Linked DNA regions of Notamacropus eugenii. The protein of the gene in region 3 interacts with the protein of the main gene of each other region in a pairwise test. Links are inferred from orthologs where the notes say so. Each region holds a gene or a part of one and is shown on either strand. Other genes may lie near its edges. The genes, in order: RGS17, SLIT1, HOXA1 and NELL2.

What was found.
Region 1: the proteins of HOXA1 (region 3) and RGS17 interact in binary tests that used the Homo sapiens proteins (3 or more experiments, as listed by UniProt). The two-hybrid records come from large-scale screens. The link is inferred for Notamacropus eugenii from reciprocal best matches to the Homo sapiens genes HOXA1 and RGS17.
Region 2: the proteins of HOXA1 (region 3) and SLIT1 interact in binary tests that used the Homo sapiens proteins (3 or more experiments, as listed by UniProt). The link is inferred for Notamacropus eugenii from reciprocal best matches to the Homo sapiens genes HOXA1 and SLIT1.
Region 4: the proteins of HOXA1 (region 3) and NELL2 interact in binary tests that used the Homo sapiens proteins (3 or more experiments, as listed by UniProt). The link is inferred for Notamacropus eugenii from reciprocal best matches to the Homo sapiens genes HOXA1 and NELL2.

Annotation. Positions count from the first base shown.
Region 1 is NC_092873.1:245,568,588-245,575,470, forward strand, and holds the start of RGS17 (regulator of G-protein signaling 17), read right to left. Parts: upstream 3,019-6,883; 5' UTR 2,910-3,018; coding exon 2,854-2,909; intron 1-2,853. UniProt on the Homo sapiens protein: Regulates G protein-coupled receptor signaling cascades, including signaling via muscarinic acetylcholine receptor CHRM2 and dopamine receptor DRD2.
Region 2 is NC_092872.1:213,997,922-214,005,889, forward strand, and holds the start of SLIT1 (slit homolog 1 protein), read right to left. Parts: upstream 3,020-7,968; 5' UTR 2,765-3,019; coding exon 2,571-2,764; intron 1,186-2,570; exon of another isoform or gene 873-1,185; intron 1-872. UniProt on the Homo sapiens protein: Thought to act as molecular guidance cue in cellular migration, and function appears to be mediated by interaction with roundabout homolog receptors.
Region 3 is NC_092874.1:18,131,435-18,138,875, forward strand, and holds HOXA1 (homeobox protein Hox-A1), read right to left. Parts: upstream 3,015-7,441; 5' UTR 2,871-3,014; coding exon 2,216-2,870; intron 1,718-2,215; coding exon 1,359-1,717; 3' UTR 150-1,358; downstream 1-149. UniProt on the Homo sapiens protein: Sequence-specific transcription factor. Regulates multiple developmental processes including brainstem, inner and outer ear, abducens nerve and cardiovascular development and morphogenesis as well as cognition and behavior.
Region 4 is NC_092874.1:211,486,882-211,494,840, reverse strand, and holds the start of NELL2 (protein kinase C-binding protein NELL2), read right to left. Parts: upstream 3,003-7,959; 5' UTR 2,370-3,002; coding exon 2,315-2,369; intron 1,863-2,314; coding exon 1,734-1,862; intron 1-1,733. UniProt on the Homo sapiens protein: Plays multiple roles in neural tissues, regulates neuronal proliferation, survival, differentiation, polarization, as well as axon guidance and synaptic functions.

The DNA.
Region 1 (6,883 bases), on a different chromosome or scaffold from region 3:
GAGGCCACTGGGTAAAGGAGAGAATGGTCACATTCTATTGCAAGGCCAGAGGTTTACTTACTTTTTGTTAGTTTAGTCTAGGCATTCTATTTGCTCTTGTTTACTTTCCAGGTTAAATAATGCCCTGCTCAGAGCCTTGTATTTTGGGGCCCAAAGAGTTCAGCTGTACTACTGAACAACGTCTTGGATGATTATTTTCTGGCAATCTTTCAAATGACCAAAGCTGCTGAACTATGTAAAACCATTTCAGCTCTCCTGCTTACACAAGGCAATGGTTTTCACTTGTGGTTTTGAAGACAAGATTTCTTGAATCTGCCATTTTGTTTTCTGCATGCTTTGCTATTTTCTGCCCAAAGAAAGGAAACAAGCCTCACTGAGTGCCACAGGAATAATCTCACCCTATGATATTTGCTCCATTCACTTGTAAATAAAGGAGTGAATGTCCTGAATTTGGCAGACTTCTCAACAAGTTAACAAGCATTTATTAAGTCCCTATGTGCCAAGGCCTGTGCTAAACTCTGGGAATACAAAGACAGGCAAAAAAACAGTTTCTGCTCTCATACATTCTACAGGTGAATGAAGAAAGACTATATGCAAACAACTATATACAAATAACATATACACATGATGAACTGGAAGTAATCTTAGAGGGAAGGCATGAGAATTAGGGGGGATGAGGAATCTTGCAGAAGGTAGGATTTTAACTGGGACCTTAAAAAAGCAAGGAAAGCTAGGAGATGGAGATGAGTTAGGAGAGAACTGCAGGCATGGCAGCCAGCCAATGAAAATTCTTGGAGTCAGCGGATGTACTGTCTAGTGTAAAGAACCACAAGGATGACATTGCCACTGGATATAGAGGAAAATATGGTGTAAGAAGACTGGAAAAGTTGAAAGAGGGTAGGTTATGAGCTATGTCCTCATAATATAACTATTTATTGAAGTGGCATAGTGCCACAAAGTTAGTCTGGTATTTGTGACTTGGTTGGACTACAAAATGACAATTCTGCCAAGGTTATATAGTTAAATAAAACTCGAGGCGAAGTTTGCCGTTGGCACCTTCTTTATCTCTTCTTATATCTGAACAATGAATCTTTTTTTCTCCTTACTAGTGGCTGTGTTCCCAATCCTTTCTAACCCTGCTCTCCCAACCTCACCCTCCAACTATGCTTCATGTCTTACCTTCAGTTAACTTTTAAGGAATCTTATTAGGATTGATAAGTAAGTAGTTAACAAACATTTCTTAAAGACATGTCATTTAAGACTATTTGAAATCAAGTGTTTCATACATAAGAGAATGAAATGTATGGTGGCATGACGTGGCAGGTTTGATTGGAGGTTGGAAGGCTGTTCCCCTCATAAATCTAGTACCACAGAAGCAGTCACTTTACCTTGTACCTCTTCCTAAAGTCCATTTTATCTGACCCAAATTCTAATTTTATAAGGGAACTCCAAATGCAGAGTGAATAGAGGGCCATTTTTGGAGTGTGGAAGACTTGGGTTTGAGTCCTACTTTGTTTACAGGGACTCAGACCTCAATGAAATTTTATTTGTCTTTCTGGCCACCTAAAAAGGTAGGATAATAGAGAAGAAAACTGCCTGCATTCAACTGTCTAACATCTTTGTATCTCTTTGATGTGCAAAAAATGAAAACAAACATACCCTTTCCTCCTATACAAATGAAACATGAAATGGTAAAAGAAAACATTTATTCTTAAAGAACACATGAAAATAAAAATGTAAACTTGTAAAACAACTTAAATCAAAAATATATGTGTACACATACATATATATATCACACTAAAATTCATATCTGCAAAGTTCAGTTTCACAAATTGTAGCATTCCCCTAATGCAGCATATTTAAAGTTTATTACTGAGAACGCTTTTTATGTTTCACTAAGATGTTAAAGTTTTTAATTTTTATAATTTTGACATCAGATCTTTTTTACTTAAAAGTCTGAAATATTCAAAAATTGTTCATGCTGTATGTAAGAGCATTTAGGTTTTATAAAAAAAGAATAAGAAAAATTTAAATGTACATTTCATCATAATTAAATAAAATTGTAATCCAAATTCCCAAATAGCAACTTTATTAATAAAAACATCCACACTTTAAAATAACTGATTCAAGATGAATGCAAAGCATATAATAAGATGAGAATACACTGTCATACTGTCAAAGAGCAGAAGTGAATAGTTATCTATTATCAGAAAACCTCAGAAATGTTTGGTTTGCAGAACAAATTCACAAGCCTTTATTCAGAATTGCATATGCACGGAACGTGATGTGCATATATGTATAAGTGGCTAAGGATTACAATATAATATAATTATATGCTGCCCTGAATGTGTAATTAGTAGTTCTTAGGTTAATTAGAGTCTATATTGACTGATAACTGACAGAATGCTGTATATCATTATTATTTTCTTTGAAATTCACTGAACTTACAATGGATGTGAGAAACAATTGACAAATAAGATACTACGGAGAAAGGACATATGTGACATATGTTCCCTAACCCAGTAATTTGTACCATCCTCCCATTTAGTCCTACTTCACTAAGAACTCCCTCTATCACAGTGCACCAAATTGATCCTCCAGCTCCTATCTGAAGATCAATAGTCACAGAGATCATGAGATCATAGGTTTGGAAGTGATAAGCAATTTAGAGGCCATGAAACTCAGCTGTCTCATTTTACATACAAGGAAAATGAGACACTAAGTTACTTACTCAATATCACACAACTAGTAAGTGTTAAATGTGAGATATGAATCAAGTTTTCCTAACTCTGATTCCATAACTTTATCTTAATTTTAATCTATTTAAATAAAAAATAAAACCTCTATACTTACCGAGGCAGCCCATTACATGTCTGGATAGCTCTAATTTTTAGGAAGTCTTGTCTCATGTTAGCTGTCAGCTTCTCTGAAACTTGTACCTATTGCTCTAGTCTCTACCCTTTAGAATCAAACAACAATACTAATCTAATCCTTCTTCCACCTGACAGTCATTCAAATACCTGAGGTCAGCTGTTTTGTCTCTTCTAATTCTTCTCTACCTGGATAATACAGCTTTTCTTCCCACTATTGATACTTATTTGGCTCCAGTACTCTCAGTATCCTCCTCATCCTTTCTAGTCTGTCTATGTAAAATGTGGAAACAAAAACAGAATAGTACTCCTGATGTGTTTTGAGTAGGGTGGAGCACAGTGGTCCTTCAGCTTTGATTGTCTTAGATGTTATTTCTTTAAGGCAATCTAGGATAGCATTACCTTGTTTTGACTAACATACTACCCCATGGGCTAATACTATCACATTTGCAAGCCACCAAAGTCTCCAGATCTTCTTCAAATGGGCTGTTAAATCATTCTATCCCCTCTTTATTCGTTATCCAATGAAGGTGACCACCTTGCCATCTAGAACTTTCAACTAAGCAGTCATCAATTAAAATGTTATATAGCATAGGGCCAAGCATAGCTCTCTTAATAACCGTTCTTTAGGTTGAGATATTAAAGCAGTCTCAAATATACCTTATAACTATTATCTGGCCTACATCTGAGTATATTGTTCACAAAATTAGCATGAGGGCCTTTTGTCAAATGTCTTACTGAAATCTCTCAGTCTAATAACCCTATCAAAAAAGGAAACAAGGTTTATTTGATGGAGCCATGCTGTCATTTCCATCCTGAATGTTCACAAACCATTCTCTTAATATGTCCTACAGTTTTGTTAGAAATAAAAAATAAAGTTCATGTTTTGTTTTATTTGTTTTGCACACACTACTTCCCTTCCTTTTTTTGAAAATCTGGTCATTTGTTCTCCTGCACCATCTCTCCTGTTCTTCTTACTGTCTTCCAAATATCACTGATGGGCTTAGCAATCATGTTTTCCAGGTCTTTTCATCTCTCAGTGTAGTTCATCCATGTCTGATGTTGTGAACTCATTGAGACCATCCAGCTGCTTTTACCTTATTTGCTTTTGGTTTGACTGCTTTTTAAACCATGTTTATTCTTTAAAAAAAAAATCACAAAGATTTTTGCCCTGGCAGTGGAAACAGTATCAAAGAGTTGAGCAGCTGATTATGTGTCACCTTTGTTATCATCCTATGTAGCAATACTTTCTTCATTCCACCTCTTATCAAACACATCAGTCCAAATTTCTTCCAAACTAAAGTTGAGGCTGGATAGCAACTCAAAAGTCATATCAAAAGTCTGAGGGAAGGAATTAAACCACAAAATATAAAGATTAAAAACAATAGAGGGGACCTTTTTTTTTTTTCAAATGCTCTTTCAAAACAACAGGAGTGGGAGGAAGGAATGATCTCACAAAGAAGTGTGTCCAAGGGAGGGTTTAAATTTTAGCTTACATTGTGCAGCCAAATCTTTTTTCTTGGAGCAGCACTCTAGTGTCATTTTAAAAAATATTTTCTTTTCAAGTTTGATTTCCAGTATTATTTTTAAATCTTTTTTTGTCAGTCATCATCCATCTCATGTTAGTATGTTTTATTCTTTTTCCATGTAAGCTTTGACCCATAAGTCATTTTACAAAACCAGAGTAACTTTCTAATTAAAGATGAAATGATCACACAAGTTTCTATGAGATCTGTTTGTGTTTGGTTCTAGCCACTTCTCCAATTGATCAAAAGAATTTTGAATTCTAACTCCGTCTTCCAAGGTTTCAAATGAACTCAAAAGGGATAGCTGGGGCTATCTACTGAACTTAATGCTTGTCAATTAAGGGGCACTAAATAACAATTAGTTCAACTATCTCATTCTTTTGCCAGGATCATTAGATGCTACAATGAACATTTCCTCTTTAATTCTGAAGTCTCTATTTTCTTAAAATCAAAGAGTGGCATTATTAAAAATTGTTATTAATGCGAGTTGTTAGTTTTCCATGGTTAATGAAAGCAAGAAAATTGATGTTAGCATTTTTAGGGAAGCTATGTTAAAATATAGAATAGGTGATCTTTTTGGAGTAATGCCTCAAAAGGAAGCAAAATAATGTTTGAATAAATACAGTGACGGGGAGCAAGCTATGCAACCACTCAGTTCACTCCATTTTTATAAAGTTCTTGTTTGCAAAATCTGTCACTACATCCTACTCATTGGTCCTAGGTCTGCCATCTGGAAGTACATAGAATGTCTAATGTCACTGCCATGTGAAGTTTCCTTCAAACATCTAAAATTTTACATTCATGTTATCCCCCCACTCTCCCAAGCGATCTCCTCCGTCCCCCCAGATTAAACACTCCTAGTTCCTTCAACCACAGTTAAATATCATATAGCTTCCAGAACCTTCCTGGTCACCCTCTTTAACCACATTCTGAACAATTTATTACAGTTTATATTTATTAAATGTCTACTATATGCTAGGTTTGGAGGCTACAAAGACAAAACTGAAGAAAGGTCCATCCTTTCAAGAAGCTTATATTCTCCTGGGGGAAAACAATATGCACGTGATAATAGCTAAGATTTGTATAGTGTTTACTAGGTGTCAGGCACCATGATAAGCCCTTTACAATTCTTATCTTATCACATCCTCATGAACTCCCTACTGGAAGGTGGGTGCTATTAACCCCTCCCCCCACAGATGAGTATGTACAAAATAAATTCAAAAGAACGGTTCTTTTGGGGGGGTGGGGGAAGGAAGAAGGCATCCTTAAGCACTATGAAGGGAAGAGAGTTAGGGATTCCAGGCAGCAGCAGTAGAGAGGGAGAGCATTCCAGGCATAGGGGACATCTTATATAAAGGCATGGATAGGGCAGATGGAATATTGTGAACAGGCATCATTGAATAGGTCAGTTTGAAATGCAAAGTGCATTAAGAGGAATGGATATAAGTCAGTTTGGAAAGACAGGTTGAAGAATGATTGTAAAAGACTTTTTTCCTTTAAAAATAAAGCATCTAGAACTGAACATAGCACTCCCCAAAACAGGCTTAGTGGTACAGAGTTTAGTGGGAATAAAATCCTGCTGAAAACATCTATTCACTATTTATTTATGAGGCCTTGAATACATTCATTGATTTTGATGATTTTTTATTATTAATGCAAATTTCAATATGGAAACTACATACAAAGAACAGAAGACTATATGAAACTGTTAATGCTGACTACACAGGTTTTTATATTGAGATTAATATGACAATAATAAAATTGACCTTCTTGACCACTTCCCTTTTTGAGTAGACATTCCTGTGTTTAAAAAAATGGTTGATGCTTCCTTCTTTCTCCTCTTCCTCTTTTAATTTTTTTGGATGGCATCACTATTACTTTATAATTCTACCTCCCAGAAAAAAAGAAACTCTCCATTATGACAAATAATTCAACCAAAACAAATCAGCACATGGAAATGACTGGGTAGGGACACAAACTGTACCATCAACCAAAAGGATGTGTCTGATGAGAAACTACAGGGAACCTGTAAGTAAGCTAGACCAAATCTTGAGGCTATTTCTTCAATTCATTTGTGCAGGTGGGAAATATCAAACTGTTCTTTCAAAGTATTGGTTTTATATGTTTTACCAAAAGGTACAAATTACAGTTGGCCAGTTTATGACTATTCCACATTCTGGCAGAGAACAAACAAATCATGCCGGTGATTATATTTCATTCATCAGGCACAATGCATTACACAATAGTCTAAAAGAATCACAAAAAGTAGATGTCCACCTATACTGAGTAAGCTCTGCAGGACACCTTAAGTCTGTTCATTCTCTTTACTACCACAGTTAGCCTACAAGGGAACAGTCTTATATCATGCAAACAGATTATCTTATCTTACATCTATTACAGATACTTCTCATGGTTTCTGAACAAATGTCCATGTATACAAAGTTTTTTAGAAAATCAATATATACAAAATGAAACATGAAAAGTAAA
Region 2 (7,968 bases), on a different chromosome or scaffold from region 3:
GCCTCAGAAGAAGCTGCTGTTTCAGACACTGATAGTGCTCGACACCCATATTGATTAGAGAGACAAATTTACCACTGTTATTTTAAGTCCACGTGTGCACTCTTTCCTGGCTCTGTCAGATTTCTGGGGGTTTTTTTTAATTCTCTTTTCTTTACCAAGTAGCTCTTTCTTGGTCTTTTTGAAAGAAACATATTTCTTTCCACTATTTCTCTCAACCCAAATTCAGCAGATAATAATAATAGCTCACATTTCTATTATCTCTTAAGGTTTACAAAGAACTTTCCATACAATAATCCTGTGAAATAGATAGTGTAAGAAATCTCATTCCCATTTTACAGATAGGGAAACTGAGGCTCTGAGAGCTCAAATGACTTGTCCAAGATCACACAACTAGTATCAGAACCACAATCAAAAACTAGTTCTCTCCTGATCCCTCAGAGTAATAATCAGACCTCTCCTCTTTCCTCCAGGATAATTTATGCCTGGGGCAAAGCCCAAAATCCTCCCCTTTGTCACTTAGCCTACCCTAATTCCACTAACCTAACACTTATATGGATTCCATCTCACTTCTTTCTATAAAGTTAAATAGCTTAATAGAGTTAAAATAGGAATTACCCTTGAGGGGAAAAAAGGAAAGTGATCAAGACCAAAAATGAATGATCAAACCTTTTCAACAAAAAAATTTTTTTTTCCAAAGGAGAAGGATGTTATTCAGAGTGAGAAACATTGTAGAAGGTGTATACACATATCAGAGAATGCAGAGCTAGCCACTATTCCAAATGAGCAAACAGAGATGGGAATAGAGAGGAGGGAAGCTTGGGAAGGGTACAAACATGGAAATTCAGAGTCACTGTGCAAATGTCTGTCCACAGGGCTCCTTCTTCAAGAGAAACAACTCTGGTTCGAGCAACTATCTGGTTCTACTCTAAACTCTGGCTCTATCCTGATAGACCTGAAGAAGGAATGAATTGAACTGATGAATGTCATCAAGGATTCCAAACCTTCCCTATGATTCAGAAGCAGAATTTCAATCCCCATCTAACCTCCCTGTCCCCCTATTTGATCACAAATGGCTAATACACTTCAGAGGATGTAAAATTGGGGAAACTTACAGAATTGGACAGTAGGAGGTTCTAGGGCAAATTGTCTGCTTCCTAATTGTTGACCTTAATACATAAAGTTTCATGGAGAAAAATGATCCCCTTCGGGTCCGATTTCTGTCCCTGACCTTCTGGGAGTGATGAAAATGTGTGAAAAAGTTATCAAAATATGGGCTCTTTGATTGAGAGCCACTGGATTTGCACAGGAGTGTGGGAAGAAAGGGCAGACTGGCTTCAAAGGAGGCTACACAGCCCCCTACAAATTCCCATTCCAAAATCTATTGGTGCAATAACCTCTCTGCTAGTACAAAGGCTCTGTGTGTGTCCAAAAATCCATCACACACATGCATGTATCCTGTAGATGTAAAATGAGATGTACCATTGGTCTGGAGCAATAGACACTACAAATTTGCATATACAGAGCCTGGATAAGGCTCTAAGCACATTACTAAGCTCTGTAAACATACACATGTTACCCACACCGTCCCTCAGCAGTGTTCTCCAGGAGAACTATAAAAGACATATAGTATCTTCAAAAATTCAAGGGAGGGAGTAGGGTGAGGGCACTGGAAAATGATGTTTTTATTACTTAAAACTGATAATCTCTCTTTAACCTTGCTAAAGAGAGTTCCCTACCCCACAGCAGGAAGAAGGGAACAAGAGTCTTGTCACTGGCTCTGTTCTTGGGCTGGTATTTACCAGGTTTCCCTCCTCCATCCCTTTGCCAGGCTCATCCACATCCCTTCTGATGAACCAGATCAGTCACAAGTCAAGCTCCCAATATCAAAGATGTCCCAAGGCTATGCTGTGACATGTTCCATTCCATTGTTTATCTGGACTGGGGATGAAGAGGGGTAACAAGGAAAACTAATGGGTGATACCTGCCAAGGAAGGGATACTGCGCCAGGAAAAACAATAGGGAAAGAGAAATAGGAGAAGCCTCAACTAAGCACCCTAGACACCCCAGCAGCCTCCATAACTGCAAAGGCCAAATGCATACACATACACATATAGATCTAATCCAAGCCCATATTTCCCCAAAATGAGGTTTCATGCCTGGTAAAGTAGATGACTACCTCCATTCCAAGGGGGTGCCATCAGGATTACCTCATAAAAGATTATGAAGCACCCTGAAAACAGCTACTATGTCATTTCAAAATAGCCTAATAAGAGGGGAGAAGGAGGGCTGGGGGTGCAGGTGTAAGTGAGCACAGGGGAGCCAGGGAGCTTACAACCCTAGGGAGGGCTATTTGAATCATCAAGAAGAGGCAGGCAGCTGTGCTTCAGGCTCAGAAAATAACCTCAGCTCCACTGACCAGTCCAATGGCTGTCTACCCAGGGCCCCAAACTGTGCGCTCCAGACTAGGGAATTCAATCTAGGATGGGGGCAATTATGGGGCTAATGGGAAGGGGGGCTGCCGATGGCTCCCCACTGAGAATAAACGTAAAGAAAAAGGTACCCATACTCACAGTCTCTCAGTGTTACGCGGGATGTTTTTGGGAACCGATCTGAGCCCCATGCCATGGCAATCCACAGTGGTCCCTGTGCAGGTGCAGAGAGCAGGACAGCCACGGGCACACAGCTGGCACAGGGCACTCCACACCAAGAGCCAGACTTCTGGCCGGAGCCAAGCAGAGTGGCCACCTCTGTGCTTCAGAGCCATGGTACCCACAGACAGTCCTGTTTCAGTGCCAGAAGACTGGATCCTTTGACCATTACAGTCCTAGGCTTGGCTCCAGGCACCACACAGGTTTGTGTGTAATCCCAGGTAAAAACAAGGTGGTGAGGGGAAGGAAATGAGGGGAAGAGAAGGAGAAAAAGCTTCTTTCTTCTGTCTTTCGGGATGCAAATCGCCTTCCTCTTCCAGTAGCTATTCCACTGCCTCTCTGGATGGATGGAGTTCTCTAGAGTGAGCTTATCTCCCTCTCCTATTTCTCTCCCTCTCTTTCCCTCCCTTCCTCTCTCCCTCCCTCTCTCCGTCTCCCTCCCTCCCTGATTGCTGCGAAGAGGAAAATGGGAAAGCCGCGAGCACACACACGCACACACACACATTCACACTCACACCCTCTCTCGCGCGCGCACACACACTCACATCCAGCAGTCATCCATCAATCTACAGGCACAAATATCAGCCCTGACTCCTCCTACCCCGTCCCTCCCGACTCTCCCCAGCCCCAGCCTCTCAATCTTCAAACGGCCACTCAACGCAAGTGGAGCCGCGTACAGTTCCAAAGGTGTAACCCCTGCCCACCGCAAAGGAAAGGGGGCCAGGGGCGCAGAGGGGGGAAGGGGATGGGCGGGGGCGCTGCGACTCAGCTGGAAGTAGGCACGAAAGCCGAGTCTGGGCGCTGGAAGAAGCGCGCGCAGCAGCCTACACACATAACCCACGAACACACGCACGAAAAGCCCCGCACACACTCACGCCAAGCACACACTCACAGGCACACGTTAGCAGTCACACTGTAACAGGCGTGCCCAAGAGCGTCCTCCCCGATCCGCCCAGCACAGGCACACACACACACACACACACACTTCGGAGCCACTTGAGGCCGTGGCCCGCTTCTGCCTCTGGCTCTGACACCCCAGTTCTCCGGAGTGGAATGACCCTTTCGGCGCCTCCTGCCAGTCTAGGGCAGGGTGGGGTGACCTCGTGCCCCAGGGGTCTGCGGGAGCCTCGGCATGGGAGCCATGGGACCGGGGATGGGGGGGAGGGGGGCACGTTAGTGCCCAGATCGTAAAGGTGAGTCCGGGGCATCTCCGCCCAGCTCTGAGCCCAGAGCTCATCTCGAAGGCTAGGGCGCAGGGGCGCAGGGGCAGAGGGGGAGGGATGCTTGGACCCCACTGCTCCAGCCCAGGGGCAGACCACTCAGAGCCCCGAGGGAGCCACCTGCCCCGAGATGTCCCCCTCCCCCCCAGTTTCCTATCCTCAAGGGTCTGAAAACCGGGGCGGTGTCTAAAGGGCACAAGGCAGAGGAAGCTTCGCGGGCTCCGTCACACCACCTGTCCCTCCAGGGGCCCAAGGTTGCACTGGCCCGGAGTTTGTATTCCACGAACCCTCAAGTTTCACTTCGAGTCCTTACGCCAACCAAACCCTTCACTCCCTTCCCCACCACCACACACCCCCCTACCATCCTCGAGGACCCATACTCCACTCCACTAGGAGAAAAACTAGGATCCGAGTTAGGCTGCCTAGTTAGGCTCCATCAGGGTCACTTCATTGCACGAGGAAGGGAGCGTCCTTTCCTGGTGACTACAGCTGACTCCCATACTGAGGGGGAGCCAGACCCTTACGAGATTCGGAAAGGAGGAGGAGATCCCCACCCCCACTTGCATGCCGAAAGAATCAGGTTAAAATAAATTCCAAGGACATCCCTGAAGGAGGAAAGGAGTCATAGATCATGGATCTTGAGCTGGAAAGAATCTCCGAAGCCAACCAGTCAAACCGACATATTTTACAGATGAGAGAACTAGCCCTAGAGTTCAAGTACCTTGCCCAAGGTCACACAAGTGATATTAGCATCAGACCTCGACTGAAACCCAGGTCCTCCAGCTCAAAGCAGGCTTGGTATGTAGTGGGACGAACACTGGACTTGGAGTTCGGAAATCTATGTGTCACTTGCCAGGTGGGTGACCTAGAGTAAGTCAAGTCCCTTTTGCAAGCCTCAGTTTCCTTCTCTGTAAAATCAGACTATTGTCTAGATCTCCAAGGTCCCTTCCAGTCCAACATTCGTTTTCTGTGACTGTGAAAATACAGTTCATTTTAACAAAGGACAAGTTAAGGGATACATCGTCCTAATAAAGAACCCTAGTAAGGGCAAATCCTACTGTTTTGCTTTGTGAGTGGGGGTAGAGGAGAAAGAAGGGAGGACCCCTCATTTTCTGTAGAAGATCTCCTGGTTTTTTATTTGTTTTTTGGTGAGTTTTTAATACTAGCGAGTAAGTTACCTCCTCATCCACTTTGAGGAGGTTGTCCTTCCAAGTCAGCTTCTAGTCCCCAGCCCCAATCCAGCATAGGTTGTGGCAGATTGGCATTTTGATGCCCACCTCTTTACATATGTAAGGTCTGCTTTTTAAAAATCCTTTTTTAAAAAAATTAACAGCAAGGTTGATATAGAATTGACTTTTGGAAGGTCACTGTTCAGACTGCATCTTGCAGTAGTCTATCACTCCTTAAGGACATTTTCCATCGGTCTCCCTCACACGACACAAAACACTATTGGAATTTCTGTCATGGTGGCATGTTGTACATCTGTTACACAGAGACATGCGGCAAAGCTAAATGGAATAAAAAGATCTTCCAAGGTACCTTTCCACTTTTCCTTGACTATATCATCTTATCAGATTTCCCTTTGGGACAAATGGATAAAAAGGTTGCTGCTTCCAAGAAATAGCCTTGATTATTACTCCAGAAAAAAATGGCCACTGCTGTCTAAAAAGAACACAGAGAGAAAGTTTTGGTGTGTAGTATTTTTGTCCTACAGGGGTTATGCTTTTAGAAGAGCTTTGGAGGAAATAAGAATTACAGAATCATAGAATTTCAGAACTGAAAGAGTACTCAGGGGCCATTTGAAAAAGAATTCTCTCTTCAGCAAATGGATAAAAAGTCACTGGGACTTTGGGGGAGGGGATGACCACCATCTCCTGGAACAGCCTGTTGCACTTGTGGACACCTCTAATCCTCAGTATTTTTTTTTTTTACAGCAAACCTAAATTTGTTGCCTTTTAACTTGTACCCAACAGCTCTTGGTTTTACATTTTGAGGCAAAACAAAACAAGTGTAGAATTACTCATTCACGTGGTAGTCCTGCAGATATTTCAAAATGACTATCATGTCCCTCCTCCATCTCCAGGATTCTCTTCTCCAGGCTAAATATTCCCAGTAGCTTCAACAGATAAGCACATGGTATGATCTCCATACCTTTCAGGTTGCCCTTTCCCAACCTCTCTCCAAAAGCAAACAGAGTTTGTGAGACCACCAAGGGGCATCTTAGGAGCTCCTCGGATTCTCTCCAGACTGAACTAGAAATAGAGCACACACTATTTGCCTTACTTTGTAGACGTTAGAACCACAAGCAGTATATGCTGTCCTGTATGCATTTCTCAGTGTATGAACAAATACGAATGGACCAAAGTCAGTTCAACAGAGCCATATATACACTAGAGTATAACTACAAGTATCTAGCTGGGCAAGATGGACAGATGAGAAAGGGTACAGATGGGTGAAGTCAGTGATAGCACCTTCCCTGCTTCTGGGAAGGTGCTGTTAGGACCCTCCAAATTAACAGCTCTGAGACAAAGCTCCAATTGCCCTGCCTTAGTTATGGCTATGAAGATTACTTTTAGGCTCTGGGCAAGATGGTAACTGGAATGAAGGGGAGGAAGACGTGTGATAAGGCATAAAAAGAAACACGCAATGATGCCATCCAAGCACTTTCTGTGGGAGCTAGAGATCTGAAAATAAAAGCAGAAAGTGTCTCATTTTCTGTAAAAACCAAAAAGGAATGGCAAAATTTGTCTTTTACATCTGTCTTTAACCAGACTCCAGATTCTTTTCACTTCTGGTGGCTAGAGACCATAAGTAAACTAATAAGCAGGAACTTTTTCTTAGCAATTTCCTTCCCTTGGAGTATCTGTCTTACCAAGGGTCCCAAATTCCAGTCCTATCTGGACAGAGTTCTTTAACCACAGCTTCTGTTCCCAAGTGGAGTATAATGGAATATCTCCTGACCCAAAATTGCAAGATGTCCTGTATATAAAAACGTGTCCTTTATTTCCATGACAAAGTCCTGTTTGTATTATATAGTCACAAATCATGAATATAGACCCATACTTGAACCAGTGATCTCTGTGAGTGCCCATTGCTTCCTTTCCAAGTACCAAATATGTCCTATATTCTTCATAGTAAGGAAGATAGATAAAAAACTGTCCTGGCCGCATCATTGCACTAATTCCTAGCTTTATGTCATTGATATTTGGAGCTGAAAAGGACCTTCAAGATCACTTAGTCCAGCTCATTCATTTAACTGACAAGGAAGCTGGACCCAAAAAAAAGAAGTGATTTCCCCTACCTTACACAAAGCCCAAACTGCCTCTCTAAACTTCCAGGCCACCCTGTTATTTCTGTGACACCAAGCTGCCTCAGATGCTAAATTCTTAGCCCTTCCCCATGGGGAATAAATTGTGTTCAAAGCCACAGAAGGAAGGACCAGCCACATTCCTGACTAACCTCTGAAAATATGACTGGCTGCTAAAAGCTCACCCCCTTATTCTGTTTGGCAGCAAGATACCAGGAGGCATACCAATGATTAAAAAAAGGTATTTAAGAGACCTAGATGCAAAAATGATACTTGGGACTTCATTTTTTTTGTTTGTTCCTCCTGCCTTGATCCCCAGAAGGGCACTTAGAATCAGGGTCCCCTGTGGGGAATGTAGGAGTGTTGATTGGTCAAACTGAGTGTCGCTACTGAGGCTTATGGAGAGAAAAAGGGGGTCTGGAAATGAGAGGGAGGATGAGGGGGAGGCCAAGAGAAGAAGATAGAACCAGCTACACAGTGTAATCTTGCCACTGGCTCAAGAATACCTAGACACCAGCAAGGACTTCTGGACTGTCACTCATCTTCCTGGCCCCTCATAGAAGCTAGAAGTTAAATCATGTGGGAACTCGAAGACAGCAAGATATCGTGCAAGGGGCACAGGATTTGTAAATCCAAGGACCAGGCTCTGAATCCCAACTGTGTCTTTGTGTGATCCAGTGGCAAGCTCTTTACCTCTGGACCTTAGTTTCTTCATCTGTAAAAGGAAGGGTTTGGACAGAATTCATTTCTGTGGTACCTTGCAGCTTCAAATCCTGTGACCCAGTCAGAGTCC
Region 3 (7,441 bases):
GGAGGAAAAAATTGACTCTATCCAATTAAGGGCAACTTTTATGAAAGTAGAGACACCCTTTTCCCTTCCCCTTCGCACATGAAATGATCAACCCAGTGTGGAATCAATTGTAGCAGCCTGGAGGAAATACAAGGAAGCCCAAGCATACCTGAAATGTGAATATATTTATTACAGATATTTTAGGACCCGTAAATTCTGCTCTGAATTCCATCACTCTTGGAATCTCAGAACTTTTCATGATTGTACAGAAACTCAGAAGCATTGTGGGACCACAAAGGACAACTGATAGAACTCAGTGTAGTATCTTTGGGAGCTCAAACCATTGTGCACCATGCAAAAAGCCTATTCACGAATCACATGAAATATACATTCATTTCGCCATTCATCACATTTACGATTGGGTTGGAGATACATCAAATCGAGGGAAGGATTACTGTGGAAATAAGATGTTTGGAGATAATATGCCCTAGGGTTCAGAAACAATTCAGCATAATTTTTGAGTGGGGCAGGAGGAGGCCAGAAGAGGTGGGAGGACTGGGGGAGAGACACTGCACACCCAGGAGGTTTACAAAAACAACAAAAAATACCCCAAAACACAACAACAACAATAACCCAGTGCAGCCCAGTCCTACTCATCTTCTCCAAAGGCACAGGGCTACTTCCCTGTGAAGTAATCTGATTGGGCTTCACCAGTCCAGTCTGATTTCTTTATTTTGTCACTTTTAGTCCTGTATAAAATTACACCCAGCTTTGGGAGTCTATCCACCCTGTTTTAATCTCCTAAGCTAAACATCATTTCTAGAAAATCTGTATAAAGATAAATCTCTTAAAGTATTTACAACCAGCAAACTCTCACACAAGAAACTGAATGCATTAAATTAAAAAGATGAATGTGTAAACACTTTCATAGTGCATCCTCTTCTTGAGGTCTTTAGACTCTCTTTTTTCCTGCCTTTAGTGTCCGGGAGATGAGGAGAAGGAGGACGGGGGGAGAAAAATAATTTGAAGTTAGATATCAGATATCTCCACCCTTCAAGCATGGGAGGGGGTGGGGTGGGGAGATGGAGTTTTTCCAAAGGATGTCTGAATCAATCATAGGCCCTCAGAGGTCATCAAAGACCAGATGGTGGTACCCCACCATTTGTGAAGTTACTCCCACCCAGCCTCTCAGTCTCTGGGCCTGAATTCTCTTGAAACACAGTGACCTAGCCCGAAGAAGACATGGAGATAACATCAAAAAGAAAGACATAGTAAAGGAAGGGAGAGATAAGCTAAGAATGTGCTTCGGGTTAGAAGTCCTGCACTAAAGTATCATGGGGTGGGGAGTGGGGGGAGGAAAAAAGGGGCCAGGGGCAAACTCAGTTGGAGGTAGTCAGAGTGTCTGAGGTAGAGGAGGCTGGGGAAGAGGGGACGCAGGGCGAAGAGGTAGATTTGTCTGAGGATTCCTCGGCCTTGTCGTCACTCCGTGATGGAGTGGTGGGCGAAATGGGCAACAGGCCCTCCTTTTCTCTCTTCTTTTGCTTCATGCGGCGGTTCTGAAACCAGATTTTCACCTGGGTCTCGTTGAGTTGCAGTGAGGCTGCGATCTCCACCCTTCTGGCCCTCGTGAGGTACTTGTTGAAATGAAATTCCTTTTCCAGCTCAGTCAGCTGCTTGGTGGTAAAATTGGTGCGCACTGTGTTGGGTTGGCCAATATACCCATATTCACCAGCTTTCCCTGGAGGGCAAGGGTGGGGAGAGGGGAAGGTGGAGAGAAAAGAAGTAGTTTGGTCATCTGATTGTTTTTAGTTTTTAAATGGTGTGGATGAGTGATTTATTTATACCCGTCAAGCTTTGGGATCATAGGTAAAGGGGCAAAGGATAACCTGACCACATAGGACTCCTAGGAAGGTGACTGATGAGGTACAAAGTATTAACTTGAAGTCAACTATTGGTGTGAACAGAAATCGTGATTAATGGGAGTCCACCCCTCCACCCCCAGCTCCTACTTTCAGGAAGCCAGAGAGAGGGACTGGCCTCCTGCCTATTATTCCTGGGCATCATTTACCTAAGTACACCTGAGTTCTCCACCCTATCCACCCCCTACAAAACCTATATATAACCTTGAGTTGGCTTCTCCCCACCATATTAAGTAAACCTACACCCACCCACCACTCCACCCCCAAACCCTCATGGCAGCAGTAGCAGTGGTCAGGTGCTGGGCAAGAGAACTGACCTGTTTTGGGGGGATTCCTTTTGACTTTCATCCAGTCAAAGGTCTGTGTTGGAGGTGATGCCTCTGCTGAAGGAGAGCGACAGGTTTCTTGGTGGCTGGCATGGAGAGGGGACAAGGAGTTATTATAATTTGCCAGAGTCAGATTCTGCGCTTCTTGTCCATATGAGTGGTGAATGTACTGAGGCGAGCCCACCGTGCCCCCAGCATAACCCTGGTGGTGGTGGTGGTGATGCTGGACCATGGAAGATGAGAGAGTTCCAGAGTAAACAGCGGGAGCACACGAGGGGTACCCGCCGCTTACGTCTGCTTCCTGATTTAATGAGTAGGGGCTGTAACCTGCTCCGAAGTTCTGCGATCCGAACCCCGGGCCACAGCTGGAGTGGGAATAAGACATACCCAGGTTGTTGAGGTGCTGGTAGGCGGCCGGCTGGGGATAGTGGTGATGGGCGTGAGGGTGGTGGGGAGGACTCATCTGCACCCCCCTGCCCACCAGGAAGCGCTCGTCGCTCCCGCAGCTGTTGGCACTGACCGCGCACGACTGGAAAGTTGTAATCCCATGATCGGGGTGGTAGGCTCGGGCGGAGCAGGTCCCCGAGTCTCCTGCGTTGAGGATAGGGTGCTCCAGGAAGGAGGCGCTCATTCTCGCATTGTCCATCTGCCTGTCACACAGTGACCGGCTCCTTCCGAGCCCTGGGTGACCGTGCCAACTTTCTCACTTCCTCCATGGGGCCAAAGAGAAAAATGATATGAATGTACAGTGTGCAGGGGGCGGGGGAGGGGGAGAGAGGGACGGGGCGCACGTGACCGCGGCAGCCAATGGCGGAGCCTCCTGTGAAAGTTTGCCTGTTCTTGCTGGTGATGGATCACCGTTTCAGTGGCATTTAAATCCCGGACGCTCCTCCATCAAGGTGACGCGCAGTCGCCCCCCCGGCCGCTGCAGCGGCGGCGGCGGCAGTGGCAACGATGGGAGCCCCGCTCTGGGGCCGGGCCCAGGAGGAGCCGGAGCCCCAGGGGCAGCCCTCCCCGTTGCCACCACCGCCGCTGTTGGCTCCCGCTCCGCCCTGCCTTAGGAGTCGCTGGAGGAATGGGGGAGTGGGGCAGATCCCCAGGGCCCAGCGAGGAGGACGAAGATGCGGCGCTTGGCGGGGAGAGTCCCAGCTCTGGTCAGGATCGCAGGGCTGGGGCTCGGTCTGCACTGAGCCGGCCGCCCAATTGCAGGTGAGTGGGAGAGCCCCTCACCCTCCCGGCCAACCCCAGTACCAGAGTGAGCCAAGGAGAAAGAAAAGGAAGATCGCCCTGCACCCGCGCCCCAGCCTCCGGGTGAGTGTGCTAGGCGCTGCCCCTAGCTGCCCAGCTCTCTGGTTATTGTCATGACCACGGCTTCCTTTGGGAACAGTGCGACTGGGAGGGGACGGTTTGGCGAGAAAACCTACAAGGCCCGTGTGGGAGGAGGCTAAGAGCAGAGGAGAGAAAAAGAGTAGGGGGAGGGAGGAGGGAGAAAAAGGAGGGGGAGAAGGGAGGAGGAGGACGAAGGAGGAGAGGGGGAGGAGGAGAAGGAGGAGGAGGAGAACTTCTCATCTCCACGGAAGGTCTCCAAAGCCAAGGAGCTTCCCCCTCCCCAATCCGCCCCAGTCCCGCAGCTATTAGCATGGCAATGAGACGTTGTTGTAATCTGATTCCCGGGGGCGGGAGAGCTGGGGGACCCTGGATTGACGGGAAAGGCCGCCTTGGCAGCAGCAATCCCCCTCCCCCAGCTTCTCCTCCTTCCCTATAATCGACTCTGCCTGGGGAGTCCGAGGTGACCGGCGAGTAACTCCCTAACTCCGCGGAGGGATGGGGGGGAGAGGGGGAAGGGGAAGGGCGGGGAGAGAGAAGGGGCAGACGCTGGCGAATGTAGCCCAGCTCTGGAGCGGGTCCCGGAGCTGCTGTCCATCTGGTAGGCTCCCCCAGCGCTGGAGGGTCAACCCACGCAGGCCGGGACATCCGAAGCCTCTGTCTAACCCCAACCCGGACCGAGTGCCTAGACATAAAAGACGAGGAGCGGGCTAAGAATTAACTGTAGAATTAACTATAATCAAATTCTTCTACCTTGGGGCTAGATCACCTCACGATTCCCCTCCTTCCCCCCCTCCCCAATCGAACCCCAACACTCCTAGGGTCACCATCCGCTGTGTCTGGAGTTGGAGGTGGGGGCTGCCAAGTGGGAGGGGCGACAGATGGTTGATGATGGAAAGTGAGCTTTCCCCTCCCTGCTACACCCCCTCCCTCCCCACAGCCAGACCCGCCCAGCCTCCTTGGTTTCTAGACTGCACTGACTGGCTAGTTTTCCCTAGAGGTTTGCGTTGCTACTAGCAGAAATCTCTTCCCAGGCTAAGGGTCCTGTTTTCAGTCACCTTCGTTCTCTCACAGCTACTAATGGGTTCTTTAATTTCTGTGGGGCACTGGGCTCCGTGTCAACCCTGAGCGGGCAGAGAAAAGGCCAAGTAGAACGGGTCAGAGACAGACTGAGACAGAAAAGAGTTGGGACAAACAGCAAGGCGGAGAGGGCCAGAGAAGGAATCTCTCGGTTCTGTGGGGGTGCTCCTTATGTAGCCAGGAATATCTGCGGTGTGCTTAGAGCCAATCCCTGCAGAGGAGGTGATCGCTAGGGCCACAGATCTGGAGGCTGCTTTTGATTGGTTACTTGTTTCCTCCCACCCCCTCCAATTTCAAGAACTAGATTTTTAGGGGGCCTATTTGAAATTTCCGTGTTACCACATTCCTTTTCTGTTTTGTTTCCTAAAATATAAACTCCTAAAATAAAATATAAACTCCTTTTCTCCTCCATGTCGAGCCCTCTCCCCCAGTAGCCTCCTCCTCAGAGAGGGGAGAACAAAATTGGAGGAGCTTCACCAGCTTCAGGGGCCCCTCAGCCCATCCCTCCTCCATTTCTCCTCTCCCCTCTCCCAAGTAGAAGGTGTTTCTCCCCAATATTTTTGCCCTTCTATTTTCATTTGCTCTTTTGCCCTTTGACCCATAGTCATGACGAGGAACTGAAGCAGGCCCCAAGTGAGCCAGTAGAGCCTCTTCCAATACGATCAGCACCATGCCACCAGGAAGGTTGGACCCTCTGAGGAGAAAGAGTCTGGACCTTGACTGAGGAGAATCGTCCCTTTCTCCTCTTCCCAGGCCAGCATCCAGTTCTGAGGCTCCTTCTCAGAGATTCTGGGGGCAGGGCTTGGAGTGGGGGTGGGGAGCTGCACAGTCATCACAGCTAAGCGTTTTCCTTTCCAGGAGCACAGCTTCCACAGAGTCCCCCTCTTTTCTCCATTTCTATATCTTTGTTTTTAAAAAGCTCATGTCTTTTGTTAAGATCCCACTTAGTCTAGAAGTCTGTAGCCTGCTCAGTCACAATGAAACATAATAGGGAATGATGGAATGTGTTCTATTGCCTCTCCATCTTGTCTGCTTTCTTCTACCCCCCCATCCCCCTCCTCTCTCTCTTTCTCCCTCCTTCCTTTGCCCTCTTGTTTTCTCACCCTCCCTGTCACAGGCTCTTTTCCTCTTTCCTCCGTTTCCTCCCTCCCTCTCTCTTTTTCTTTCTCTCTCTCCCCCTTTCCTTTTCCTCAGTCCTCTGACACTCTTTCCTCCTCCCTCTATTTCCCCCCTCTCCTTCTTATCATCCCTCCCACTTCCATCTCTTCTCTTTCCTTCTCTCCCTCTCTTTCCTCCAGTTCCTCCCTACTTGCTCCTTCTTTTTCTTTCCCTTTTTCCTCCCCTCTCTACCTTTCTCTTCCTCTTCTCTTTCTCCCGCCTTTCTTTTTTATCCTCCCTCCCACTTTCTTCTTCTCTTCCTGCCTCTCTTCTCTCCTGTCCTCTTTTCCCTCTCTCCCTCCTCTTTCCCACTAAGTGGAAGCCCCAGCAAGGAGTTTCCCTGGTGTGTGTAAATACTCACAGACATATTCACACAGGCAAAGCCATCAACAGAAATCGAGATACTGTACCCACTGGCGTTTCTCCACCCGGCTTAGCCTCTCTGCTGCCTGGGCCCAGATTCCACAGGCTCGTCATAGTCCAGATCAGCGCCTCCACTTCCTTCGGAGAATTTCGCCTTTCTTGAGCTTTCTTCCCACCGGCCATCACACAAAAGACTGGCCCCAGAAACACAAGACGACCAAGAGGCAAAACCTCCTTCCCTCATCCAGGAGGAAATTGATCTCGAAATCGACAAACGAGTTTTAGAGCCCTCTTTGAGCCCTGGGGAGTTGGTAATGAGAGCACCCAGCAAAGAACCCCATGCTTTGTCAAAAATGGAAAGCTTAGAGGCAGGCAGGGGAAGGGTGGAGAGACCGTCATTAAAATAAAAAGAGAATGGCTAGATTTAAAGCGCTTCTTCCCTCCGCCCAAAGCCCTTCTCCTAGAAAGAAAAGGAGGGAGGAGGGGGGGAAGCCCAGGCTCTGAGCTTTTCGTGGCATCGGCAGCTTAGCCAAGCTGTTGTTTTAAAAGAGCAATAAAAATGACTTATAGCTTAAACGCCTCCTAACTTAATGCTTTCAGACGGGGATCCCCAGCTCGGGCAAATACGTAAGAGGACTTGTATTTGTGCATGTGTTCCTGCAATTGATCTCTTTGATGACATTCTCATTCATAGAAAGAGTTTGATTTATGAGCAGTAGAAGAATTCTATCCAGCCCTATTCCCAGCTCTGGCCCACACAGCCCAGCCCAGCCCAGCCCAGCCCAACCCAGCAAACTTTCAGTTCAGCTTCTCTCCACTGGGCTCCGGTAAAAAGAACCCTACAACTTCTCCCAGATGCTGGATAGTTCTTTACGGAGGGAGGACTGAGGAGGTGGAGGGGGGGCATGCATTCACCCACCCACAGAGCCCAGATTTCATTGTAACTGCCAAACTATTACTGTTAAGGTCTTCGGTTAGTAAATCAGACCAGCCCACTCACACATGTTGCTTGCACTGTTTTCTCACGGTAAATAACACTGTTCACAGAAAGAGGGAGAAAAAGGGGGAAAGAAAATAAGAGGAAAAAAAAAACCAGAACAACCCAATAGCACAGCCCTACATCATATTTTATTGATGTTCATTTAAAGTGCATTTTATATATTTTATAGATTTTTTTTTTGTTCTGACTTGGGAATCTTCCTTATTTCAGAAGATGTTGTGCTGACCCACACTCCACTTTAGACTTCAATTTGCTAACCTGACTTCAAAGCTTTAATGAACCCTTTATCT
Region 4 (7,959 bases), about 190 Mb from region 3:
TCAACTAAAAGCCCACCTTCTACAAGAAGCCTTTTCTAACCTCTCTTAATTCCACTGCCTTCCCATTGTTACTATTTCCTAATTTATCCTGTATATAGTTTTCCATATATATATATATATATATATATATATATATATATATATGTATGTATGTATGTATGTATACCTGTTTGCATATTATTTCCCTCATTAGATTGTGAGCTCTTTGAGGGCAGGGACTGTCTTTTGCAACTTTTTGTATCCCCAGCACTTAGTACAGTGCCTTGCATACAGTAGTTTAATTAAAGTTTATTGGTCAATTACCATAGTGCTTTACAATTTTATCTCATTTGATCCTCACAACAACTCTGAGACAGGTGCTATTATTATTTCTATTTTGCAGATGAGGAACCTGAGGCAAACAGGTTAAAAGACTAATCCAGGGTCCCAAAGCTAGTGTCAGAAGCTGTATGTGAACTCAGATTTTCCTGACTCTGGGGCCTGTACTATATCTTTGCCTATCTTATTTATCTAGTTAAATAGAATTCCACATATGGAAATCAGGTTGACAAAATTTATTGTGTCTACTGTGTGCCCAAGCATTGTACTTTGACCTAGAAAAGATATAAAATCAATCTACAAATATCTGAGTGTTCGGTACTGTAGGGCATATAAAGAAATGTAGGATAGAACTCCCAATTTCCAGAAAATTGCAAGAGAAGTGGCGTCTCTGCCCTGGAAGATCTGTGCTTCTGTCATTATTATATCTGAATGCATACTGAAAAATTTTTTTAATGGAAAAAAGGAATTGGCCTTTGAGAATATTTTCTAGCACTTGTTCTACTACTTGACTTCAGAACATTGAAAGTGTACCACTGAAGTTGTATGTACTTGCAAGAGTTCTAAACCCCAGTTAGGTGCAAGTCACCTTCAAATAGCTTTGTAAATCAAGGTTAGTTTCAACTTTTAAAATATATGTCTGTCAGCACTACATATTTAAACATTATTTCATTATTGATTCATGAAGAGCTCTCATTCCTTTGTTATTAAAGTCAGGAGTAAGGATGTGGTGGTTAGAGGCTTGATTTGGGATTTTCAAAAAATGAATATATTTCCAGGGTGGCACAAGGATAGAAAATCAACCTTGGAATCAGGAAGAGCTGAATTCAATTCCAGCCCCAGACATTTAACTGTGTGAGTAACCCTGGGTAAGTCATTTTACCCCAATTTGCTCCCCCACACACAAATGAATACAGTTTCATAAATAATGTCTACTATATAATGAAGAAATAATAGTAACATGCCGGATGATTTTGATTTTTCTAGAAAGCTAAATACATATTTTGTCAAGATTCTGGCCAATCTAAAGAGGCAAAATTTCATAGGAAACTTTCAGAGAATAATTTCTTAATCAAAACTGTAGATATCTTATTTCCTAACTGAATTAACTTCAACTAAATGAGGCATTTGTTTTGATATAATGTTTCCTAGAATCTAAAGTAAACCATCTGCCATCTGAATTTCTGTATGTTAATCAGGGGTCCTAGCCATTAAAAATAACAGGAATACAAACTAAAAAGTTATGGGAGATAATCCTTGGCACTTAAAAAGAGATGAAAGAGAAGCAAATAAAACATGACCCTCCACTACTTTAAAACACTGTGATGGGAGCAATCTAATTCGAAAGTTTGGTTGAGGGCTTTGCTAAGGACTTCTTAAATTATCTAATTGACCCCAGTACCACGCATCCATACCTTGAAAAAGAAAGGCTTTACTTCCATTGTGAAGCCCAGGGACCTGGAACACTCCCGCTGTGGACTCTCCCAGCTCTAAATCGGTCAAGAAGTCGATTTTCAAGGAGGGATCTACTCCAATTCCCCAAACTGAAGGTAGGTTTTGGACATTGGAGAAGAATAAGAGGGAAAGAAAAAGCACCATCAAAATAAAAGTATCTGGCACTACAGGACAGCAATTATGTTGGAAGCTGACAAAGCTAGGCAACTATCCCTTCTCAGAATTTCACCTGTGCTCACCAGTTTGGCTTAAAAATAATTCAACACCCAGTCCTACTTCCATGAAATACTTAAAAATCCTTCCACCTGAAAAGTACCCCTCTGTTCACAAGGCTAAAGATATGGGCCATGAACGTCCTTTAGGTCTCAAAATGGGAGGGGGAAGCAAGCTAGCCTTTTCCCTTCCCATTCCCGGGCATTTTCAGTGCCACAGAGAGGATAGCACTGGTTTTCCAGAACCTCCTTACGTGGTTTCTGCTTCTTGTCTCTACAGAGTCTAATGCAGATTGCTTTCCCCTCAGCCCAACCCAGCCAGCACTGACCTGATCCGAGACAGAAGATCAAACAGAACGTGGTCACTAAGATTGGAGACTCCATGGTGGAGATCTTTTCAGTTCATCTTCTTCGTCTTAAAATAACAACAACACCCTCTTAAAATAAAAATAAATATACGTCTGCCTCTCCCTTTGTTTCTTAATATTATTTTTAAAAATCGAGGAGGGCAGTTCCTTAAAAATAAAATGCATAAATCTGTCAGACCCTTGAACAAATTGGACCTGATGTGCACATCATTCTCACATACAGTGGCAAAGGGTAAAAAAGAGGGAGGAGAGAGAGAGAGAGAGAGAGAGAGAGAGAGAGAGAGAGAGAGAGAGAGAGAGAGAGAGAGAGAGAGAGAGAGAGAGAGAGAGAGAGAGAACGATAAGGATGAAGAGAGAGGAAAGAAGGAAAGATCAGATCGGTGGTGGGAGTGGAGGTTGGGAGTGTTGACGGGTGTGGGTGGCAACAAAAACTCCCTCTCCCGCTGCAGCCAGAACCTGTGATGAAGGCAGAGACGATGGGAGGAGAGCCCAGAGATGCAGGGAGAAGAGATTGCCCTTTCAGGGAGGGGCGGCGAGCATGGGGGAGGGTGGGGAGGAAAAGGAAGGGAATGAAGAAAGCAGGGAAGAGCTTCCTTGTCCCTTTCCTCCCACTGCAACAGATTTCGGGAGCAACTGCAGCCTCCTTCTCTTCCTTCCCACTATCCTGGAGCCTTGCCACTCTCCTCCTTCAGATTAAAAAAAAAACAAAAACTAAAACCAAGGTGCCAAGTTCACAGAAGAGCGTATTCCCCCACTCCCAACCACCCCCCTCTCCACTCCACCTTACCCCAGGAAAAGGGATCACCTAGTTATTCAAAGTCCCTGAGGGAATTGGAAACTAAATTGCTCGCTAGTCAGAAAGGAACGAAAAATCCAAAAGCTACCCTACAGTTCTCCCATAACCGTGGCAGCTCCCAAGAAACTCAGTACTCCTTTCCAAGAGCACAAGACAGCATTGATCTGGAAGCAGAACGTGACCTTGAGCTGGGACCTGAAAAACAGAGAGAAGTGATTAATAGGGGGAGCAAAAGGGAGCCTTGGGGAAGATGCAAAAATTGACAGCCTGGGTAGGGGCGCTAGAGATATTTCAAGGAGGGGAAAAAAAAGCACAGTGAGTGGTGAACTTGGTGGCAGAACAGCCTGGAAGCTCCAGAACCTCTGCCAGACGGATGAGTTGAGGAAAGGGATATCGCGTGGGCTAGAAAGGAACTCTGAGCAGGCAAGCCTGGAGGAAGGAGCCATGGCACCAGCTGAATATGATGAGTCTCCCTAATTAGAGACCACAGTCTTGCCTCTCTAATAACATTTTCATAGGCCTTGGATTCCATTAATACAGAATCAGTGAGGATGGATGCAAATTGCATAGAATGTCTTCATCCAAGACAACATTTTCCAGAATTGCCCTTAAATATCCAGGAGATTGTTCTCTGAATTCAAAAAATTGGATTCCTTATACTCCTTCATCAGAGCAAATTTAAGAGGGTATTGCATTGCTAAATTGGTAAGTAAATTGTTACCTAGTTTTATAAGCAAGGCAGCTGCATTCTTAAATCTCCATCTACCCCTTCCCATAACTATATAGACCAAAATGCCTACAGTCTTGCTAAATGTTAGAAGAGGTGTCTAAATTGTCCTCACAGCAATAGGTATCAGAGTGTACCCTGTAATATATGCTACTACAGTAAAACAAAAAAGACATTTCTACTTTCTTTTTTATTGGCTCTTGGTGGGGAGTTATAATTAAGGTGTGGGAAATGTTTCAAATTATTTATTTAAGTTACTGAAATGTCAAAGTCTGGACCAAATTTTAAAATTTCTACTTATTCTTTTAAAATGTATTATGAAAATCTCCAATACCTAGAATCAGTGGAATTTGTTCATTTTTTAAGATAGCAGTATTTTTCTGACAAAATAAACATTCACATACCCACTTTAAAAAGGCTTCACAGGTATTCACTTGGTAAATTAAATTAAATTAGTATATTATTCAAGAAGCTAAATTTACATCTGCTTTTTAAAATGCTGGATTATCATTCTCCAACTGATAAATGGTCAAAAGATATGAATAGGCAGTTTTTCAGAGGAAAAAATTAAAGACATCTATAGTCATGAAAAAATGCTCTAAATCACTATTGATTAGAGAGATGCAAATCAAAACAACTCTGAGATACTACATGACACCTATGATAAATGTTGGAGAAGATGTGGGAGAGTTGGAACACTAATTCATTGTTGGTGGAGCTGTGAGCTGATCCAACCATTCTAGAGAGCAATTTGAAACTATGCCCAAAGGGCTACAAAAATGTGCATACCCATTGACCCAGAAATACTACTTCTAGGACTGTATCCCCAGGGGACCATAAAAGTGGGAAAGGGTCTCACTTGTACAAAAATATTTATAGCAGCTCTCTTGGTGGTGGCCAAAAACTGGAAATCAAGGGGATGCCCATCAATTGGGGAATGGCTGAATAAATTGTGGTATATGAATGTAATGGATACTATTGTGCTATAAGAAATGACGAACTGGAAGACTTCAGAGAGATCTGGAAAGACATAAGAACTGATGTTGAGTGAAAGGAGCAGAACCAGGAGAACTTTGTACACAGCAACAACTATAGTGTGCTAGGAATTTTTCTGGTAGACTTAGTTCTTCATTGCAATGCAAGGACTTAATAAATTCCCAATGGTCGCTTAAGGCAAAATGCCTTCCACATCCAGAGAAAGAACTATGGAATTCAATTGCAGAATGAAACAATCATTTTCTTTTGTAGTATGTTTTGATTTGTTTTATGATTTCTCCCATTCATTTTAATTCTTCTATGAAACATGACTAAGATGAAAATGCATTTATTTAATAGGAAGGTATGCGTAGAACCTATATAAAACTGTATGCCATCTCAGGGAAGGAGTGGGCAGGTAGGGAGAAAGGGGAGGAGGGAGGGGAAAAATCTAAGATACATGGAAGTGATTGTAGAACACTGAAAACAAATAAAATAATAAATAAAATAAAATAAAATGCTGGATTACCTAGGCAGTTGAATAAAATAGATGTAATCGGGAGCTCAAAACTCATTTGTGTAAGACTTTTCATTGATGAAAACTGCTGCTGTTAGGGATGGAACTGATGAGAGTATGAGAGAAAAGAGAGATATTGGTCTTTGCAGTGGTTCCAGATTATGTTCTGGGAGTGGTCTTTGAAGAGAGAAATATTGTAGGAAGAAGCTAATATGTAGAGGAACTAGGGCCTCAGACATTTCTCTATCTCTGTAATAATATAATCTCTATCCCATTATTATTGTAAGAAAAGACCTGAGGTAATATTTGCAAAATGATTTGCAAATCTCAAAACACAATGTATACATTCTCTATTACGCCTTCCTTTCTACACAGAAGCTTCAAGGAATTTTTTCTTGAGTGAGTTCTGGATGATTCTCTCTCTGTCTCTCCATCTCTCCCTCTCTCTCTTTCTCTCTCTCTCCCCCTCCACTCTATGAATTGTCTAGTATATTCTCATCTGTATAAGTTCTCTGATTTCTGTTTATTTTGACTTGCAAAATGGATTTATTTGCTATATAACAGCTTCTTCCCAGAGTAAGCAATCTTCACCAATGAAGAGACCCTTATGCCGATGGTCTTTGAACTGTGGGTTACATATAAAAACTAAAAGTTAGATTTTAAAAGTTGGCATGATCATCTTTCTATAATCTCATTGTCAATTCACTGCAAATAATGATTGTATTGCAGGATATTCCTAAGCACTTGCCTAACATTTAAAAGGTTTGATGGTTACACTTAGAAATAATTTCTATCTCTTGAAATTGTGAATTTTCAAAAATTATTCACAAATTATTTTTAGTTTCTTTCTTTAAAATAAAAAAGAGCTTCTTCTATTCCTTAAATAGTAAAAACCACATCATGTAACTATGTTTAAAAATATCTTTATATATAAAAAGATTCAACATTTCTCTTCAAGATTCAAACATTTAAGATAGTTAGTAGTTAGTATTTACTATCTTCCAGTAATACAAATTTCCTAGTTTGAATGAACTTTCCTCCATAGAAATTAATTGTTACTTTCTGCATAAAGCCAAATTTAAGATCCCCTGTTCAAAGAATAAATGGTTCAACTCCTACCTATGCATATAAACTTCTAGCTATTTTTTAATCCAAATCATTTAGAATGTTCTACAAAATTAAAGTTAAGGAATAGCTCCCCAATTTCATTTTCTAAAATATATTTTTATTGATATCTTTTGATGTTTTTTCTTATAGCACTAAAATTATGCTCAATAGCCCTGCCCCTTTGATTCCTAGAGAGCTAGCTCATATTTTCCAAGACAAAGGGAAAGAAAAAGAGAGGGAATGAGGGAAGGGGAGAGAGAGAGAGACAGAGAGACTGAGAGAGACAGAGATTTAGATCAGAAAACTGCTTATTATGGGTCAAAAGTCTGAAAATATGCACAATGAATCATATGAATGGAATACCCACTACTAAAAGGGTGGGAGAGGGAAGTTCTCACATTTCTTCTTTAGAGCCATATGTGTTCTTAAAACTTTGCAAATTCAATTTTGGGTTTTTTTGCATGTGCTTTTTCTTCCTGTTTATATAGTTGTAGTCACTGTTTATATTGTTTTCCTCTATCTTCTTAATTCATTCTCTATGAGTTCATATATATTTATACATACATATATATGCTTCTCTGTATTCATAATATTCATCATTTTCTAGAGCACAATAATATTCCATTTTATTAATCCATGAGCATTTCTTTAACTATTTTGTTTGAAAATTTTTGTAAACTTTGTAAACTTACATAATTATTTATTATTACCAAAAGTGTTACTATAAAAAATTTTATGTATATGGAGAATTTCTCTTTACCAATGTCCTTCCTGGGGTATTAGCCCCAAGAAACTCTGGATCAAAGAGAGTGGACATTTAGTCACTTTGATTGCATAATTCCAAAGTAGTTTCCTAAATGGTTATACTCATTACAATGTACTAGTACCTATCTTTTCACAACTCCTCCAACATGGACAATTTCTATATCTTTTTCTCTACCAATTAACAGAGTGTAAATTGAAACCTCAAAGTTGTTTTGATTTAGATTTCTTTTATTATTAGTGATTTGGAGCTTCCCTCTATCTAATTCTTAATAGCTTCCAGTTATTTTAAGAACTTTTGGGGGGTTGGAGCCAAGATGGCAGAGTAAAAGCAGACACCTGCTAGAGCTCTCCCCCCAAAGCTCTTAAAATACCTGTGAAAAAAGACTTTAAACAAATTCTAGATAAGCAGAAACCACAAAATGACAGAGTGAAACAGATTTCCAGCCCAAGACAACCTGGAAGACTGACAGGAAGGGTCTGTTGCACCACGCTCAGAGCAGAGCTCTGTCAACATGGCACAGATGGTAGAGACTGGACTGGAGCAGTCCTCAGGGCATTGGCAGCTGCTACAGTTTCCTGATTTCTCAACCCACAAACACCAAAGACAGCTTCAAAGATTAGTGAGAAAGCTCTCCACCTGGGTGAGAAGGGAGCATGGTTTGGTCCCAACCTTAGCTCCAGGGCAACAGCAGTTACTGCTGCAGTTATTGCCACTTCTA